Linked DNA regions of Oryctolagus cuniculus. The protein of the gene in region 1 interacts with the protein of each later gene in a biochemical or structural test. Links are inferred from orthologs where the notes say so. Each region holds a gene or a part of one and is shown in the gene's direction. Other genes may lie near its edges. The genes, in order: NR2F1, BCL11B, GTF2B and BCL11A.

What was found.
Region 2: the proteins of NR2F1 (region 1) and BCL11B form a complex in vitro, tested with the Homo sapiens proteins (2 studies listed by BioGRID). The link is inferred for Oryctolagus cuniculus from reciprocal best matches to the Homo sapiens genes NR2F1 and BCL11B.
Region 3: the proteins of NR2F1 (region 1) and GTF2B form a complex in vitro, tested with the Homo sapiens proteins (2 studies listed by BioGRID and IntAct). The link is inferred for Oryctolagus cuniculus from reciprocal best matches to the Homo sapiens genes NR2F1 and GTF2B.
Region 4: the proteins of NR2F1 (region 1) and BCL11A form a complex in vitro, tested with the Homo sapiens proteins (2 studies listed by BioGRID). The link is inferred for Oryctolagus cuniculus from reciprocal best matches to the Homo sapiens genes NR2F1 and BCL11A.

The regions. Positions count from the first base shown.
Region 1 is NC_091445.1:16,209,440-16,214,110, forward strand, and holds part of NR2F1 (COUP transcription factor 1), read left to right. Parts: exon of another isoform or gene 1-39; coding exon of another isoform or gene 40-52; intron 53-744; coding exon 745-1,272; intron 1,273-4,671. UniProt on the Homo sapiens protein: Coup (chicken ovalbumin upstream promoter) transcription factor binds to the ovalbumin promoter and, in conjunction with another protein (S300-II) stimulates initiation of transcription. Binds to both direct repeats and palindromes of the 5'-AGGTCA-3' motif.
Region 2 is NC_091451.1:43,080,456-43,085,126, reverse strand, and holds part of BCL11B (B-cell lymphoma/leukemia 11B), read left to right. Parts: intron 1-395; coding exon 396-2,509; 3' UTR 2,510-4,671. UniProt on the Homo sapiens protein: Key regulator of both differentiation and survival of T-lymphocytes during thymocyte development in mammals.
Region 3 is NC_091438.1:82,092,099-82,097,394, forward strand, and holds the start of GTF2B (transcription initiation factor IIB), read left to right. Parts: upstream 1-1,782; 5' UTR 1,783-1,920; coding exon 1,921-1,937; intron 1,938-5,296. UniProt on the Homo sapiens protein: General transcription factor that plays a role in transcription initiation by RNA polymerase II (Pol II). Involved in the pre-initiation complex (PIC) formation and Pol II recruitment at promoter DNA.
Region 4 is NC_091433.1:142,193,171-142,197,841, forward strand, and holds part of BCL11A (B-cell lymphoma/leukemia 11A), read left to right. Parts: intron 1-3,237; coding exon 3,238-3,339; intron 3,340-4,671. UniProt on the Homo sapiens protein: Transcription factor. Associated with the BAF SWI/SNF chromatin remodeling complex. Binds to the 5'-TGACCA-3' sequence motif in regulatory regions of target genes, including a distal promoter of the HBG1 hemoglobin subunit gamma-1 gene.

The DNA.
Region 1 (4,671 bases):
CAGGACAGACATTAATTATATTTCCCACTTTTTTCAATAATGTTTGGCTACTGTAAGTTCAACTTTTCTCTTGGAAATTTTCAATTTTCTGTTGCTTTTAATAGTGAGAACTTTGTATGGGGCGATGGGGAGGAGGGGAGAAGAGAAGGGTGCAGGATACTTGCTGTCTACTCAGAAGTTGTAAGTGCTTAGTAGGATGTGTAACTGGTATCTATTTTAACGGTAATTCTGCAGCATTTTTTAGAGAATGGGTTTTTTTGCCTAACACTGCTAGCTTGTGGATGAAGAGGCCGCTGGGCATGCGTTTATTCGCCTAGAACCACAACCTTTCTCCAGTTTCGCCTCTTTTTTTTTTTTCTTCCTTGACCCCGATTTGTTTCATTCCGGAGGGGGTGAGTGGGGTGGGGTGTCCTTTATCTGTGTGTTCCTCCTTGGTAGCCCAGGGTTTGGGTGGCACTTCCTTGGCCACGCGGAGCTGGGGGCTCTGAAGTCAGGCCTAGTTCTGGCGGGGCTGAGGTGGCCAGGGGCTCGGGCGATGGCTGGACGGACACCCCGAGCCCTGGCGCTGGAGGACCGAGCCCCGGCTCGCACGGTGTGGGCCGGGAGTGGGAGCCAGCAGGAGAGGCGCGGGGCGCCTGTGGCTGCGGGCAGAGCTGCTGCATTGTGTCGGGTGCGCTGCGGCGCGGCGTTGTTCGCAAGCCCCCTGGATGCACATTGCCTCTTTTCTCTCTGTCTCTCCGTCAGCGGTTCAGCGAGGAAGAATGCCTCCTACCCAGCCCAATCCAGGCCAGTACGCACTCACCAACGGGGACCCCCTCAACGGCCACTGCTACCTGTCTGGCTACATCTCGCTGCTGCTGCGCGCCGAGCCCTACCCAACGTCGCGCTACGGCAGCCAGTGCATGCAGCCCAATAACATCATGGGCATCGAGAACATTTGCGAGCTGGCCGCGCGCCTGCTCTTCAGCGCCGTCGAGTGGGCCCGCAACATCCCCTTCTTCCCGGACCTGCAGATCACCGACCAAGTGTCCCTGCTGCGTCTCACCTGGAGCGAGCTATTCGTGCTCAACGCGGCCCAGTGCTCCATGCCGCTGCACGTGGCGCCGCTGCTGGCAGCCGCCGGCCTGCACGCCTCGCCCATGTCCGCCGACCGCGTCGTGGCCTTCATGGACCACATCCGCATCTTCCAGGAGCAAGTGGAGAAGCTCAAGGCGCTGCACGTCGACTCGGCCGAGTACAGCTGCCTCAAGGCCATCGTGCTGTTCACGTCAGGTGAGGCTGCGCCCGCGCGGAGGGCAGGCCGCGCCGGGAGCGAGCGCAGGCTCCGCGCCGCCGCCGCCGCCGCCACCGCCCGCGGGGCCTGGCTACCCGCGCCGCCGCCGCAGCCGCCGCCGCTGCGGGTGCGGGCGCACGAGGCCCGGCCCTTGCCGGATCGTGGGCCTGACCTGGGTCTGCGGCCCCGGCGCGGGGACGCGGCCGGGCCGCGCTGCTGCCATCTTGGGAGCGCTGCGGTGCGGGAGCCGAGGCGGCCGCCGGGGCTTACCAGGGCCTAGGTGGCCTGGCCCCCCGCGCGGGGCCGCGGCTGCGGTGGATGCGCGTGTGCGGAGAGGGGGAGGCGATGCCGCGGGCCTGCCTGGCTGCTCTGGTGTGCGGGGTGTGTGTGTGCGGGATGCGTGTGTGTGTGTGTGTGTGCGCGCGCGCGTGTGTGTGTGTGTGTGTGAGCCCGAGCTCAGCGTTTCTGGGGGAGGAGAGGGGAGGGAAGAGAACGTGGAGCTGTAGCTTCCTACTCCGTGTGCCACGCGCCGGGGATGAGTTTCCCCACACAGAGAGACACAGAGAGAGAGAGAGGAGGGAAGAGAAGAATACGCACAAATAAATCATAAATAATCCCGCTTTATGGCTGCCTGATTTTCCCTTATCGGAAACCATTCATGTTTGCAGTTTCTGAGGTTATTGAGGGTCATAAAAAACGGATTCGATCTAAACAAGAAAGATAAAAAACAAAAGCAAGATTGTAGAACCCGCAAGGATGGGTGCCTTCCCGGCCCGGAGATAAATTTCATAGCTATGCCAAACACACGAACGCTGGAAACCTAAAGGAGAGCCTTCAAAATATATCGAATTAAGTGGAGGCAGCGGTCACATGCATGTTAACAATTTCTCTTATGATAGATGGTTCAAATTAACTTCCAGGAAAGAGCATTAACGTTGCCTTTGAAGGCCTCGGGTCTGAGCCTCTGCGAACACTGCCGGCCTTTTATTATTGTAACCTGCAAGAGGCAAACATATAAACACCCGGGACAGCAGGTAATGGGGGGAGGGAATATAAACAAAGCCAGAAAGGAGGCTGGTGGGGAGCAGACTGGGTCTTGAGCCCTGCCCACTGTGGGTAGAGTTAGCGGCTGTTCTGCCACTGTTGTTGGCACTATTGTTTGTAATTCCTCCATCCGGAGAACAAATGCACCATCCTCATAAATCCATCCTGGGGCCAGGCCCTCCAAAGGCCAGATGAAACCCGTTCTTGAGCAGAGATGGAAAAAACCCCTTTCCCAAGGCCTTGCTGAGCAGTAAGCAGTGGTCTCATCTATCAATATATCTTGGCTTTCATGCGTGAAGAATCGTATTTACATTGTATTAAAATGACTCTTAAATTTGCACAATATTGTAATGTAGCAAATGTAGTATTAATATCGATCTGAGCAGCAGATAATTTATTTAGACAAGAGCGTCTCATTTGTATGCAGGGTGGCCAGAGCCATGGACCTAAGCTGCCCCTTTTACTTTCAGTGCAAATGCAGGTCTGCCTGTGAGAGAGGGAGTTATTCTTTGCGAAAGGATAGAGTGTGAACCTTAAAACAAATGGAAGATTTATTGAATAGCCTCCTCGGTGTTTGAATGCATTTTATCTTAATAAGTCTTCTTGATGGAAACGTGTTTTTCAAAAGTGACAAAGAGCCCGGGAAGCAGCGACCAGAATGCTTTAGCTCTGGCAGGCCTGGGGGCCTGGCTGGCTCTGCGCTACCCAGCTCTTTAGCCAAATTTATCAGGAAGCAAGCCAGTGTCAGGGAAGCTGGGGGTTGAAAATCGCATCCAGCGAGGTGTCTTGAAGCAGAAATGTTAACTTGGAGCTGGACAGAGGTCTACCGGAGAAAGGCCTCCCCTCCCCTTAGCCTTTCTCCCCCTAAGGGTCTTTGAACCCCCTTGACTTTGCTGATCTCCTGCCCTTTCCCAGAGAGAGAGCCGAGGACTGTGCAGGCTGCAGGGGGAACATGGTGGAATTATTCATGCTTTTTCTTTTAACTTTCCGTCCTAAAACACTCCTGTGAAAAGTGCTCCTTTTAAAAAGTTTCCCAAAGAAGTTTCCTTGAACCAAGTGTTCAAGGTGCAGGGGGTGCCTAGAAGTGAACAATAACATTATTTTGTTGGAGAATTGAAAGCGGAATATCTGAAAATGGAAATAGAGCTGTCAGTAGTAATTCACCCCTCCTCCTCCCTACAACACGTTTCCACTTTTGACTAAACTTGTTTTGATTGCCAGCCAGAAGGGAATTCATGGGAAGCCTTCTCAAAGTCATCCAACTTTTAAGCAAACTTTGAATGATGGAAAAGACAGTTTTAGACATATTGTCCAACGTGGTTTGCTCTGGTTAAGTATTTGAAGCTGGCACGGGGGTCCCCCGTGGTGGTTTTCACATTTGGCCTCCGGATGCTATGTTTAATCCTTAATATTCTGGACAGCATCCAAGGACTAGGTCATGACCTGAACTTACTTTTTTTAAAAAAATTTTTTTCATTAATTCACACACCTAAATATTCCTTCAAATAAATGAGACCTTCTCTGAAAAGAGCCATCTAGTTAACATAAATACAATAAATCCATTTTCTGTACAATAATAACTTTGATTTCTAGTTATGGCAGCTGATTACATCTACATTTCCTGAACACTAAACTCTTGTGAATGCACAACATGAAATACATTCTCTGCACTACAAAGGCTAAGCCAGGAGGGCCTCGGCAGTAATGGTTATTTATTTACATAATTTCTTTTCCATACACTGTAGAAGAAATATTGAGGGTTCCCACATTGACACTACCATATAAAAAGTGAGACATGGATTGTGCACATTCTGCCTCCTTTTCTTATCTGGAGTATAACTCACACACACCCCCCGCCCCCGCTCACCTCGCTTTGCCACCATAACCCACCCCCCAGTTGATCTGAGGGCTCTTGCCTTCTGTCCACAGTTGGGGGAATCCTGTGTGTTGGGGGGTGGGGGCAGTGAATGAATACTCAGAGTAGGAAGCCAGGCCAGAACCAGGGCTCTTGCCGGAAGGAGGCCACAGGGCTGGCCGGCTGGTACCTGGCAGGTGGGCCCAGCTACAGACCTCCCACCTCCCAAGGAGGAAAGAAACCGAAGGAGCTAGCATAAGGCCTAAGCACACTTTAACTGGGCTTCTCCCTTGGAGTGGCTTATCCAGGAGTTGGGGAAGTGACCTTGCTCTCTGGGGATTTTAGTTGTAAATATCAGAGAAATATTTTACTAATTGGAAGGGATGCCAAATGGGTCTTTAAAAAAACCTGCTGGGGTATAAGTGGGTCCTTTTCCTTTTGCATTGTGTGGGCCTGAAAGTGATTCCTGGCATAATGGGCGGATAATACATGGAAAGCA
Region 2 (4,671 bases), on another chromosome or scaffold:
TTGGAAATGTCCAGCCCTGGTGACCAGGGACAGAGGGTGCTGCTGGCACCCAGCAGGTGCAGGCTGGAGTCCTGCTGTGCATCCCAGGTGGCACGGGACAGCCCCCAGGACTCCACCAGAGGCCCACCCAGTCCATGTGGTCCAGGTGGTTCCACACACACAGGGGCCCGGATGGCTCAGTGCACCCGCTGGTCTTTTATACCGGGTCAGGCACCTCCCAGACACCCAGAGGATGCAAGGCCCCCCACCTGGAGAGGCTAGGCCCAGGCGTAGCCCCAGGTGGCCTGTGCGCCAGGTGAGGACCCGGCCCCACCCGCCCGCCCACCTGCGCCCACCTGCGCCCCCCTGCCGCGACTCACGGCCTCTCTGACCTTGCTCTCCGCGTGTCTCCCCAGGTAAAGATGAGCCTTCCAGCTACATTTGCACAACATGCAAGCAGCCCTTCACCAGCGCGTGGTTCCTGCTGCAGCACGCGCAGAACACGCACGGCTTCCGCATCTACCTGGAGCCCGGGCCGGCCAGCAGCTCGCTCACGCCGCGGCTCACCATCCCGCCGCCGCTGGGGCCCGAGGCCGTGGCGCAGTCGCCCCTCATGAACTTCCTGGGCGACAGCAACCCCTTCAACCTGCTGCGCATGACGGGCCCCATCCTGCGCGAGCACCCGGGCTTCGGCGAGGGCCGCCTGCCCGGCACGCCGCCGCTCTTCAGCCCGCCGCCGCGCCACCACCTGGACGCGCACCGCCTGAGCGCCGAGGAGATGGGGCTCGTGGCCCAGCACCCCAGTGCCTTCGACCGAGTCATGCGCCTGAACCCCATGGCCATGGACTCGCCCGCCATGGACTTCTCGCGGCGGCTGCGCGAGCTGGCGGGCAACAGCTCCACGCCGCCACCCGTGTCGCCAGGCCGCGGCAACCCTATGCACCGGCTCCTGAACCCCTTCCAGCCCGGCCCCAAGTCCCCGTTCCTCGGCACGCCGCCGCTGCCGCCCATGCCCCCCGGCGGCACGCCCCCGCCGCAGCCGCCGGCCAAGAGCAAGTCGTGCGAGTTCTGCGGCAAGACGTTCAAGTTCCAGAGCAATCTGATCGTGCACCGCCGCAGCCACACGGGCGAGAAGCCCTACAAGTGCCAGCTGTGCGACCACGCGTGCTCGCAGGCAAGCAAGCTCAAGCGCCACATGAAGACGCACATGCACAAGGCGGGCTCGCTGGCCGGGCGCTCGGACGACGGGCTGTCGGCCGCCAGCTCGCCCGAGCCCGGCACCAGCGAGCTGGCGGGCGACGCGCTCAAGGCGGCCGACGGCGACTTCCGCCACCACGAGAGCGACCCGTCGCTGGGCCCCGAGCCCGAGGAGGAGGACGAGGAGGAGGAGGAGGAGGAGGAGGAGCTGTTGCTGGAGAACGAGAGCCGGCCCGAGTCGAGCTTCAGCATGGACTCGGAGCTGAGCCGCAACCGGGAGAACGGCGGCGGCGGCGGCGGCGCGCTGGGCGCGGGGCTGGGCGCGGGGCTGGGCGCGGGCGCGGGCGGCGGGCCCGGGCTGCCGGGCGCGGGCGGCGCGGCCAAGGCGCTGGCCGACGAGAAGGCGCTGGTGCTGGGCAAGGTCATGGAGAACGTGGGCCTGGGCGCGCTGCCGCCGCCCTACGGGGAGCTGCTGGCCGACAAGCAGAAGCGCGGCGCCTTCCTGAAGCGCGCGGTGGGCGCGGGCGGCGACCCCGGCGGCGGCGGCGGCGGCGGCGGCGAGGACGACGCGGGCGACGCGGGCGCGGGCGGCGCGGTCAACGGGCGCGGGGGCGGCTTCGCGCCGGCGGCCGCCGAGCCCTTCCCGGGGCTCTTCCCGCGCAAGCCCGCGCCGCTGCCCAGCCCCGGGCTCAACAGCGCGGCCAAGCGCATCAAGGTGGAGAAGGACCTGGAGCTGCCGCCCGCCGCGCTCATCCCCTCCGAGAACGTGTACTCGCAGTGGCTCGTGGGCTACGCCGCGTCGCGCCACTTCATGAAGGACCCCTTCCTGGGCTTCACCGACGCGCGCCAGTCGCCCTTCGCCACGTCGTCGGAGCACTCGTCCGAGAACGGCAGCCTGCGCTTCTCCACGCCGCCCGGGGACCTGCTGGACGGCGGCCTGTCCGGGCGCAGCGGCACGGCCAGCGGCGGCAGCACGCCGCACCTGGGCGGCCCGGGCCCCGGGCGGCCCAGCTCCAAGGAGGGCCGCCGGAGCGACACGTGCGAGTACTGCGGCAAGGTGTTCAAGAACTGCAGCAACCTCACCGTGCACCGCCGCAGCCACACGGGCGAGCGGCCTTACAAGTGCGAGCTGTGCAACTACGCGTGCGCGCAGAGCAGCAAGCTGACTCGCCACATGAAGACGCACGGGCAGATCGGCAAGGAGGTGTACCGCTGCGACATCTGCCAGATGCCCTTCAGCGTCTACAGCACCCTGGAGAAACACATGAAGAAGTGGCACGGCGAGCACTTGCTGACGAACGACGTCAAGATCGAGCAGGCCGAGCGCAGCTGAGCGCAGGCGCGCGCGCGCGCCCGTGCGCCCCGCACCTGCGCGCCCGCCGCCCCGCGCGCGCGCCCGACCCGTGTCTGCCAAGTCGCACGGAGACCCGAGGGTTGATGGAGGCACTGAACATTGTGGAGCCTTTTAACTGTGCAATAATTTCTGTATTTATTGGGTTTTGTAATTTTTTTTTTGGCATGTGCAGGTACTTTTTTTTTTTTTTTAATTATTATTCTCTTCTGTTTAAATTCCTTTAAGAAATTTTGTTGGGTATCCGTCCCTTCTTCGTTTTTTTTTTTTTTTTTTTTTTAAAACAAACAAACCCCGTAGTAGCCTGAGCAATGACTCGCAAGCAGTGTGGAGGGAGCCGAATGTTTTAAATTATAATTTGGGGTAGGGGCGCTGCTTTTTTGAGATTTAAGCTAAGCATGTGTAATTTCTTGTGAAGAAGCCAACACTTCAACGATTTTGAAGTTGTTTACTATTTTATTCCTTCCTTTTTACATTTTTTTGGCCTGAAATGAAATGTGGCATGCGGTTTCTGCCTTTTGTTTTGTTTCGTTTTGGGGGCATGTCAGCGGATAACAATCCCTAACGTTGTAGCACTTTGTTTCAGAAGTGGAATGGAGGCGCAGCCCAGGAGCTCCGACTCACAGAGGCCTTTTCTGTGTTCACTTCAGCTCTCACCGTTCTGTAAGGGAAACTTGGGGGGCGGCACCCCAAACTCAGCACCCCCCACCACCACCACGGGGGGGGCGGGCGGAGAGGGGTCTGAAGCTGGGTGTTGCCCACAGATGCTGTCCTGGGTGCCCTCTCTGCTCTGTGCCCCAGGGGAGGCCAAACCACGGCCCGGCCCCCTGTGGGTCAGTGGCCTGTAAGTGAGTTCTTTCTGGCCACTTCTGGCCCCACAGGCCCTCTCCCCCAACTCCCACCACGGAAGCCCCATGTCCCACGGTGCCAGCAGTGGTGGCCGATCCTTTGCCGGGAAGTCACGTGGCCTGGTAGCCAGGGGAGGCAGTCGGTGCACGCTGAGCTGGCCGGGCTGCAGGGACAGGGGGAGGAACCCTAGGAATTTCTGCCCTTTCTCCGGAAGAGCAAGGGGAGAGACCCCGCCACTGGGGCCCCCCGTGCTGCTTCCCAGTTTTCCCCCTCTCGTTAGGTTGGAAGGAGCTCAGCATTGGACTGTTAAGATTAGACATTTGGATTCTGTTGACCCGCACTTTAAAAGCTTTTGTTTGCATTTAAATTCAATGGCTTCTAAACAAGAAATTGCAACATATTCTTCTCTTTGGCCCAGAGGTGGGTTGAACTCTAAGGGACAGCGAGATTGAGTGTCAGTGTTGCTAAGCGTGGCATTCACAATGCTGGCACTATAAAGAACAAAATCAAGTTACTTGCTGGACAGTTCTGCTGCCACCCAATCTGACGTGAGTGCCTTGAAAACTGATCTTCCTATCCGAGTCTCTTGAGACAAATGCAAAATTTTTTTTTTTTTGAAATGAAAGGACTTTTTAAAAAAGTAAAACGAGAAAAGCCACATTTACTTTAAATTAAAAAAAAAAATCCTGGTTGAAGAGAGAGGACATGAAAATGCCATAGAAGACCCAATCAAATGAAGAAATAAACCCAGCACAACCTTGGACATCGCGAGCTGAACTGTACACAACCCCTTTTGCATTTGGGACAACGCTGCTTAGATGTGGAGCGGAGGTAACTTACTGCTGAACTTACATGTTGCTATCGTTGAATGAAAATAAAAACAATTCAGGAACAACGGCTAATTTTTTCTAAAGTTAAATTTAGTGCACTCTGTCTTAAAAATACGTTTACAGTATTGGATACATACAAGGGTAAAAAAAATTGTGTGTATGTGTGTTGGAGCGATCATTTTTTTTTTCAAAGTTTGCTTACTAGGTTATACAAAATGCCACAGCGGCTGCGTGTATATTGTTTTCTTTTGGTGACGGGGTTTTAGTATATATTATATATATTAAAATTTCTTGATTACTGTAAAAGTGGACCAGTATTTGTAATAATCGAGAATGCCTGGGCATTTTACAAAACAAGAAAAAAAAACTTTTCTTTTCCTTGAAAATGTTGCAGTAAAATTTAAATGGTGGGTCTATAAATTTGTTCTTGTCACAGTAACTGTAAAGTCGGAGTTTTAGTAAATT
Region 3 (5,296 bases), on another chromosome or scaffold:
TTTCACAAAGCTGATACCAACTTTTCAAATAAGTTCTGAAGTTTAAAAATATGATAATTTAAATTAATAAATTATTTTGAATAATTAACATTCACTAATCATGTAACTTTACATTGATTATTAAAATAAAAATGGTGATACAAACTAAAAGTCTGGGTAAATGCTAGTCTAGGTCAGTGAGTCCTTGGTGATAAAATCTCGGTTTTGTGCAGTTGTATTTTAATCCCGGGATCACAAATAAAGGTAAAGGGGAATAACATTAATGAAATGCTTTATAAATGACTAATGCTATATTAACAAAAAGAAAAAGAGCGGCTTACATAGGCTGCCTGCTATTTTAGTAGGAATGAAACTTGTGGAAGGGTGTGATAGAGACACTGCAGGTGGGGAGCAGTGATGCAACCATTGCTCTGAAGCCCTCCTCTTGGGTTACCATTTCTCCAAGGGTTTGTTACTTCAGCAAATGTTACTGAATTTCTGCCTCCAGTCTACCAGGTGCCAGCTCCGTATTGGTAATCCTCGGGAATTGTTCCCTTGCCCTTTGCTCTTTTCTTCTTCCCTCAAGCCAAGAAACTCTCATAGAGAAAACTCACTACTAAGTATCCCCTAGGCCTTTCCCTGATTGAAGTGGGAGGTCATTTTGAAACTTTCCCAAATATTAAGGGGTGGGGGACACAAGCATACAAATTTTTAAATTCCAGAATGGAAGACTCAAAAAAAAAAATGCTCCCCTATTCCCATCCATATTTCAGTTTCTAAATTCCTGCTTCTCACACTTACTCTTCCCAAGAGTAAGTTTTCCCAAGAAAATGGAGTTAAAAGATTTATTTTGTTGGAAAAAATTGAAATTCATGCATAGTTTTTTCATCATATGCATTTTCAAGAACTTTTAAAAATCCTTTGTATGCATGGATTTCAAAATTCTATAAATCCCATTATCCATGAACTTTTTTGAAATCCTCTTGTATCTTCCACATTTAAAAAAAAAAAAAGGTGTGGTCAGCAGAGTTTAAGGCTCATTTTCTCAAAACAAAGCAGTTACTATATCCTCATCCTCATAGAAACAAGGAATCACCCTTTCTCCTCCAATCCCTACACTGTCAAGGGTGGCTTGCTTTCAGCAAACTGGTGGTGTTTTTGCTATTATTTGACCTTAATTTGGCTAATGAATACATCAAGGGACTTCTTGTGGCATCTAGGCGTTCTGCCAAGTTGTCTAAACTTAGCTATCAGCCAAATTTCCAAAGGCCATGAATAAAAGCCGTCAGGGCAGGGCCCATAGCTTCGTGCCTCCGGAGCACACAGTGCTGTCACATGGTTTTGTTTCATCTCCTGCCAATTCTGGAAGGGTATGCGAGGCAGATCCTAATACCCCCTGAGAAGACTCGGCGGCGTGGTGGCCGATGGCAGAGCCTGAATTGACATCCGCTTCGGATGACCTGAGTGAATCGCTCTCTTTATCCCAAATTCCTTAGTAATAGAGAACCACCCCTCGTGGCAAGTGAGAACCGCGTTTACACAGGGATAAATGGCAGGGAAGAGGGAGGGAGAGAGGCTGGGGTCAGCCCTCAGGGATGTGGGCTTTGCCCCCTCCACGAAGCCAGCGTTTTCTTCGCGCTTTAACTCGGTCAAATTGAAAAGGAGCCCGTTTGCAGGGTTCCCTTGAGACCTTCCCCGGGTAATTTCACAGACTCGCCGACCCACCTAGTAAACAACAGACGACATAAGAAAATGCAAAGCGTACGACACACAGGGACTCATTGTTCTTGGCCCTTCTCCCGACCCGTAGCCGCACCCTGTTACGACTGCGTGGCTGACTCGCCTATAAAAGCCCGTCTCGGGGCGTCTCGCCGCCACAGGCTCTTCCTGTTTCTGGCGTAGCAGTCGTCGCTCGGTGGTGGAACCGCAGCGGCCGTGAAGATGGCGTCCACAAGCCGGTTAGTAGGTCCCGCCGAGCGCGGCCAGCGAGCGCCGCGGATTCTGGGCGGCCGGCGGGGGCGGTCGCGTCTGACGAAGCGCCGGGAGGTATCGGGGAGCGGCGGCGGGGGCTGGCAGGCTGCCCCGGACAATGGCACTTCCATGCGGCAGGACTGTCAGGGCTGTCGCGGGGGTACCGAGCCGTCGACGTTACCGCCCGAGCGCCCTGGGTCATCTCTAACCCCAGATTCCATCCTGCGCGGGCCCCTGTATGCCCAGCCCCTTGTCCTCGCGTCTTGGGCGAAGATATCAGCCGTCTTTTTCCCTTGTTAATTTTTTCTACGCTTGTTTTTCCAATCCACGGCCCAACTGGCCTTAGAGTCCTCAGTTCCCCCCCCCCCCTTTTTTTTCTTTCAAAGAGCGGGAAACGTTTATCCTAGGCCCATATTGATCTGACAGCTAAAAAGTTGGAAACGTCAGCGCTGGTAAGCCGAAAGGAAACTGATTACCATCCCCGCGGCCCTCCCAGGGGAAGCCAGGAGAGGCTAGGGCTCATCCCAAGACTTGATTAGCCCCCTTGCTGAAGGATTGCGCTGCGAATGTTTTCGTCTGTATAATCCTGAAGAAAGTCTTGCCTGCAGAAAAAAATTACCTAGATATACTGAGATACTCTGTCATATATTTTGAAAACGTACTCATCTACAGGAAATGCATGCAGTGCCCTGCGAGGCAGCCTTTAATCATGTGACCTGAAAAACGCTTACAGACCCTAATTATGTCTCTCATTGCTGTTAGGGCAGATACTAGTATTTTTGCGTGAGTGTAAACTGAGTCATGGCCATGTTGACTTTTTCAAGGTTAGTGAGAGAGTGTAGTCTAAGACTCCTGTTTCCTGTTATATCACATGATCGGCCTATAGTTAATGCACTGTATTAAACATAGCAGATTAAGTTCTAAGCTTCTAGAGGCAACTGTGGCGGTTTTCTGAACCCATTATCATGTGCGGGGTGGATGCATTTCACCAGGGAACGCCATTGATCATAAAGTAAGCTAGGAAGGTCCAGGATAGACTCACCGTATTCTGGTAATAACATCAACGAAAAATGGGGGGGAGCAGTTTTTGCTAATGTCTGGAAATAACTCTTACTGCCCGTGACACCCTTGTTTATTGACTATAGTTCTGTGATTGAATGCTCAATCATAGTGTCTGGGTGTGGTTCTGTCAGGTAAGGCTTCCTTACAGATAAATGGAAAACTTCAGCTTCGCTAAATGAGGCTTACGTTCTCTCGTGAGTTATTTGGGAGGTAGCTATATCTGTGCACAGCGTTTGCATATACTGGAACAGGAAATTTTATCCGTAAAAAGCTAATGGTACACATAAAATAAAGTCACTGAATAGATTGTTTACACAAAGAATACACCAAACTTGAAATACAGATTTTTTTTTTCAGGCATATCCATCTCCTAAATTTACGCGTCATTGTGGTTCATCCATCTTTCAAGGTTTTCTACCTAGTGAAACAAAGTAAATGTTAGTGTTTCTACTTTTAGCCTCCCCCCCCCCCCACACAATGATTTACAGGCAGTAAAAATTGGTGTTCTCAACAGAGAAGAGCATGAATGTTCTGAGTTGAAAGTCTAAGCTCCACCACTTATCTTGTGACTTCAGGCAAGTCATAATCTTTAAAATGGTGATAATGCCTATTTTGTGGGATTGTAGAAAAGGTTGATGATATTCAGTGTATAGCACTAGGCAATTGATAGCCATAAAATGAGATTTGTGATTATATGGTGCCTTAGGTAGTCTAAACTGTTTTAACATCATTGGTGGTAGTTCTTTCCCTTGCTTCCGTATTTCTCTTTACTTCCTCCCCCACCACTGGGTTTTCCTCTTGTATGTTTTGTGTGATTACTGTAGTGTGATTTCATTTCACTTTAGCTGGGTGACACAGTACAAAAGCAAAATACCAGACTAGACAGTGAAAAGTAGTCTTGTTTTCTCCTAGCTCCCAGCATCTAATTCTCCCCAGAGCAACCATTGTTTTGTTTTGGTGTTTTCTTGGTGATTATGTTTTAACAAACATGCATGCAGTTTTGATCTCTTTTCACCCCAAAATGTAGCTGATGTAAACTGCTTTCACCTTACCTTTTGCCTGTTTTATGAACTTAGCATACAAAGTTCAAGTACACAACTCAGCTACAAAGTGAGGACATAGGCATAGCCACCACCCAGGTCAAGAAATCAAATAGTCCCAATGCACTAGCTAAGACAGTAACAAAGTCTCCTTTGTGTCCTTGGTCAGTGCCATGTCCCCAAGAAAGCCACATCCTGACTTCTACCTCCGTAGATTTGTTTCGCCCTTTTAAAGTTTATGAAAATGGCACAAGTATTCTGCTGTCTAGTTTCTTGGTCAGATTTTGAGATTCATCCATGTTATTGCATGTAAGTAGCTCAGGCATTTTTAGTGTTGAATAGACTCTATCTTCACTTAACATGTCTTTGAGGTTCCATGTCATTTATACAATACTTTAAGGTTTTCTGTATAGTTTTTAATAGCACGGAAATCTTATGTCAATCCTTTAGATACTGTGTTCCATATGTCATCCTGTACTGCTGATTTGTACTTATTCTAGTGCTTCAACGTAGTTTTTTTTTTTAAATAATTTATGCCAACTGCTTAATTTTGTCACATTTTATTGAAATGTTAAGGAATCTATTTAATAGGCTGAATTTAAGCTATATCTGGCCCCATTTTCCTAGTTAGAAAATACAATACCTGTTCTGGTTAATTTGACTATATAAATTTGGGAGATACGGATTTTTTTTTTTTTTTTTTTTTTTTTTAGTTTTCTAATAGATATCACCTTCCAAGTTGAGAGTGAACATCCTGAATTATATTTTAAGTACAAGAAGAATGTTTATCCATAGCCATAAATATCCTATTTATACACTATAAGAATATTGATTTTAGTCTTTTAGGTGTATTTTTGTGATAGCTATAACAAATATTTTCTGTATTACTTTTTTTAAATGTGTTCTTTTCAATAATAGAGAATCTGTGGTTGTGAGTTTGTACCACCTGAAATAATGATTAACTCTGTTAAAAATGGTTGTTGCTTTTAAATTTGATTCTATCAAGTGATTTCAGGTTAATATGTCTTCCCCAAACTGATGTATTGTTTTTTGTTTGTTTGTTTTAAGATTTTATTTATTTGAAAGGCAGAGTTAGAGATCTTCCACCCAATAGTTCAGTCCCCAGATACCTGCAACAGCCAGATCTGGGCCAGACCAAAGTGAGGAGCTTCATCCAAGTCTCCCATGTTAGTGTAGGGGCCCAAACACTTGGGTCATCTGCTGCTTTTCCCAGGCACATTGGC
Region 4 (4,671 bases), on another chromosome or scaffold:
CCATTTGCCCCTGGGGAGAATGAGAGGCGTGGGGTTAGCAAGAGCACCCAGCCAGTGCTGCACCTCCCAGTCCCCAACCTCGGAAGGCAGAGCTGCTCCTTGAGTTTGATCCTTGGAAGCGTTCTTTGTGACGACTTTGCTTGGCCTAGGCCATGATGAAATGATTGAAGGCATCGTAGCAGGAAGTTAAACCCTAGGGAGGCTGTTCACATGTACATTTCCAGTCCTCGTGGGAACTCCCATTCTACTTCCCGAGGAGACGGTTAGGAACACGTTTGGTGGAAGAAGCAGCAAGAATAAGCCGGGTGCCCATGTGGCTTTGCTTTGTCCCTCTTCCTGGAGGGAGATCAAGGCCGGCCTCAGCTTCTGCACAAAGTCTGCTTATGTGAATGGCTTGTCAGGCTGAGACATGGTTTGTTTTCCTTTAGTGGGCTAATTCTGCAGGGGAAGCAGTTAGAGGAGGAGGACTGTGGAAGTGAGTCCAGGGGCCCCAAGGTGGCAGAACAGGCTCTATTTTCTAGTTGTGAAACCCAGTTCATTGGAATCTTTTTTTTTTTTTATTTCAGTCCTTTCTTTTCCCCAGAAACATTTTATTTAAGGTATACAAACTTCATAAACACAAATTTAGGAACATAGTGATTCTCCCCGCCCACCCACCCCCCCCCCCCACTTGCACTCCCACCCTTCCTCCTCCTCCTCCTATTCCATGGGGACCTTTGGAAGGCCCCACTGGACACTGCTGGGCTGGGCTGCTCTTCCTTCCGCTGAGAGGTGAATGGATGAATAGATGGAGAAGCCTCCTTCGTGGCATTTCTTGGGCAGTGAGGACCAAGGCAGGGTCAGCAGAGGGTGGAGTAGATGTGCCGGGAGAGAGCAGTGGTCAGAGACTGGTTTTAATCTTCGCTTGGTGATGAACTGTCAGTACAGCCACTGGCACGTCACTTGATTTCTCAAGACCCTGTTTCCCCACCTGTGAAATTAGGCACAGATTGGAGGAGCACTAAGGTGTTTTTTTTTTTTTTAACCAACATTTAAAAAAATCAAAAAACAGTAGGCATTGTAGAGCTGCCTCTTGGGACTCCCCCAACCCATACTGGAGTCCCTAGTTTGAGTCCCGCCGCCGCTTCTGATTCAGCTTCCTGCTAATGCACCTGGGGTACACCAGACAATCACCCAAGGACATGGATCCCTGCCACCCACATGGGGTGCTCAGATGGAGCTCCTGGCTCCTGGCTTTGGCCTGGCTCAGCCTCAGCTGTTGTGGGCATCTGGGGAGTGACACAGTGGATGGAAGATCTCTCTGTCACTGTTGTGTTTCAAATAAATAAACACAGTAAATCTTTAGAAAGGAAGCAAGCTGTGAAGACAGATGCAGAGATGCTGTCAAGGGTGAGGCCGCCCTTTGCTGCGTGATCCGGTGGCTGCAGCCGCTCAGGGTGCGGATGAGTTTGCCAGTTGGAGAGCCATGCTAATGGCTGAGCTGGGTAGGTTAGCAGTTCTCGCAGGAGGCCTTTCGAAGCACCTTAGGGTTCCCTGGCGTGGTTAAGTGGCAGGGAATTTGAAATTAGACTCTCTGCATGCAGGATGTCTAAGGACCTTAAGCTGAGGTCACAGAGATACCTCAGTTGTATGGGTTTCCTAAGAAAAGGATTTCAGTCTTGGCAGCAAGCAAACTTATTAAACAGCCAAGGCAAGAACAAGTGCAAAAATGGATTCTCAGATTTCTTGTTGAAAACTACTAGGACTAAATCTGTCGTTAATTTTACTCCGTACTCTGAATTCATTTAACATGGATAGTCAGATGTAGACACACTTGGTCTCTGAGTCTGGTTTTCCTGCATTTGCTGGTTCCTTTTGTGGTTGTTATTGTGTGTTGGGTCGGGGCGGAGGAAATGCCTCTAGATGGTCTCAGGCTGGGTCGTGCCTCCACTGCAGGTCTGCTGACAATAGATTTATGCTTTCTGTACTGTAAGAGCTGTCTCGAGCAACACATTGCTGTTACCCACCGGCTGCTCATGAAAGGAGACCTTGTCCCAACTACCCTGGCTGCACTTGGCATTGAGGTGTGTATAAGGAGAACAGGATGTGGTTTTACACCGGACACCTGCTATCCTGGAGCACAACAACACACTTCGAAGTTCTCTTAATATTAAGCTAATGGAAAACATACTCTCTGCTCACCCTCGAAATCTGTTTTTCTTCTCTCTCACCTCTCCTAGTCATCACACACTGCAGGCCTCCAGAACATAGGGAGTGTCCCCTACCCTGTCCACCCTCCACTCCTCCTCACAGTGGATATCCACTTGGTCAGTTTGTGGAAGCTGGATTTGGAAAAACCAGGATCTCAGGGGGCACAAACCAATTACTTCCCTTACAAATAAATATATCAGTGCCGGAAATGCTTGATTGATTGCTAGGTTCATGATTGTTAGTGCAAGAAGTCACCTGTCCTAACTAGAGTGCCACAGGAGCCGAGGACCTGGGACGGTAGGCTGTGGTTTCTGGATGTGACTGTTACTGCACATGGGTTCTTGCCTTATTCTTTAATGCTTTAATTCCTCACTCTCAAGGGGGTCCTGGGCCAAAGCTATGTTAATCCTTTATTCTCCAGTGCTGTGTGTTGTGAGAAGTGATGCCTACACCCACTACCCTGTGGGTAGGATTCTAGAAGGTGACCTGCCAACTCCTAAAATGCCCAAATTTCCTTGTCACTGAAGGTCATATCATAAATATAGTTGGGGGGGAGCGGGCAATGTGTTGGGGAAGGGAGAGTGGGACTTCATCCTATTAAAAAAAATGGTTGGTAAATCCACTCATTTTATGAGCATATTGTTCTTTGTTTGTGTTTGTCTTTAAAGTAATGTATGCCTGGGAACCAGCCTTGCAGGGAGGTCTCCCCATTTTGCCGACCTACCTGTGGTATCCCCCACTTTCTCCTTGCTGCGCATCTCTTACCGTAAGAGAATAATCAAACAGCCACGAACAGGTGAACCAAAGACTCTCCCACCATACCTGTAAGAAGCCTGTTTCCTTTAGCCAAAAAAGGCCAGGGTTGAAAACAAAACAAAAACTGGGGGAAGTCACTCACCTCTGTTCTTTTGCTCAGGCTTTGGGCCTGTTCACTATGTGCAAGGCTGTTCGATGATGTTACTCTGTGTTGATGGAACCGCGATGTGCTGTCCTGTCGTTTGTGTGTTGTTTGTGGCTGCAGCTCCTGATGTTGGGTTTCTTTCACAGATAAACTTCTGCACTGGAGGGGCCTGGCTTCCCCTCGGTCTGCACACGGAGCTCTAATCCCCACGCCCGGGATGAGCGCAGAGTACGCCACGCAGGGTATTTGTAAGTTGAGCATTATTTCTTCTACAAGTGTCCGTGTGTATAGAGATGGGAGTTGCTGGAAATTACCCTTACTTTTTAAGTACTGAAGGGAGTTACTTCCAAAATAGGCTGGCACCCGCAGATGCATTATTCCATTACTCACTTGGCACCCGCTCCCTGGCTCCACTCAGCCCCAAGAGTGACTTTCCCCTTCTCCTTTTTCCCTCTGCTCACTGCAGGCACGGAGCTGACAGCAGCTCTCCCTTGTGGGTCTGCTCCCCAGGGTCTTGGCTGGCTCCAGGCTGGGGACTGGATACAGCTGTGTGTGCAGAGTCTATGTTATAGCTGGACACTCACTCCCGGGCCTCACGGAGGACTTGGGATTATTCCACGATGTCCACCTCCAGCAGACTCCAGACCCAAAAGGAGTCCGTTGGCAGTCACTCTGCTGCATTTTATTGATGCATTTACATTTGTATTTGAACGTGGCATACTTCTACATATACCTGGCACATCACGTATGTGCAAGTATAAGCATATACAGGCTGCCCTCTGTATCTGTGGGCTCAGCATCTGCACAGTAACCCATCAGGGATCGAAAATATTCAGGAAAAAAAAGGAATGACCTCTGTACTGAACATGAACAGACTTGCTGTTGTCACTCCCTAAACAACACAGCCTCACAGCCATTTATTGAGCATTTACATTGTGCGTGGTATTGTAAGTAGTTTAGAGGTGATTTAAAGTACGCAGGAGGATGTGTGTGGGTTGTAAGAAAATACTATGCCATTTTATGTAGCACCCATGGATTCTGTATCCAAGAGGTCCTAGACCCGATCCCCTGCAGATACTGAGGGATGACGATACATATGCATACATGTGTACATACACGTATGTAGGCATAACACAGACATGATTTCTACCCATTTTCTCCTAGTTTTGGAGAAAAATACACAGCACTGTAGTTAAAATGTAAAGATACCACCACTACCATCATCCAGTCACTCGTCGAAGCCAACGTTGATAGTGAGGACTTTTCTAGGAAATTGGGAACCTTTTATGACATTTAGATTTGCATGTTTATAACAGCGATTTTGGAAAGGTGCTGTTTGAGGAGGTCGTACAGTGTGCTTCTCTGGGTAGGAACACATGGCATGAATCATGCATGGCTAAAATATGGAGGGGGGAGCGGCTGCTTCTACCCTCAGCAGAACAAAGCAGGTTCAAAGGGAGAAAAGAAGTGTGGCCATCTAGTTGCTATTTGGAAAGTAAGTGGAAAGGAAACAAGAAAAGATGGGGAAAGGGTCACGGGAAGAGAGTGCCCACGAGCAAGAAGCAAGAGTTAAGGCTGCG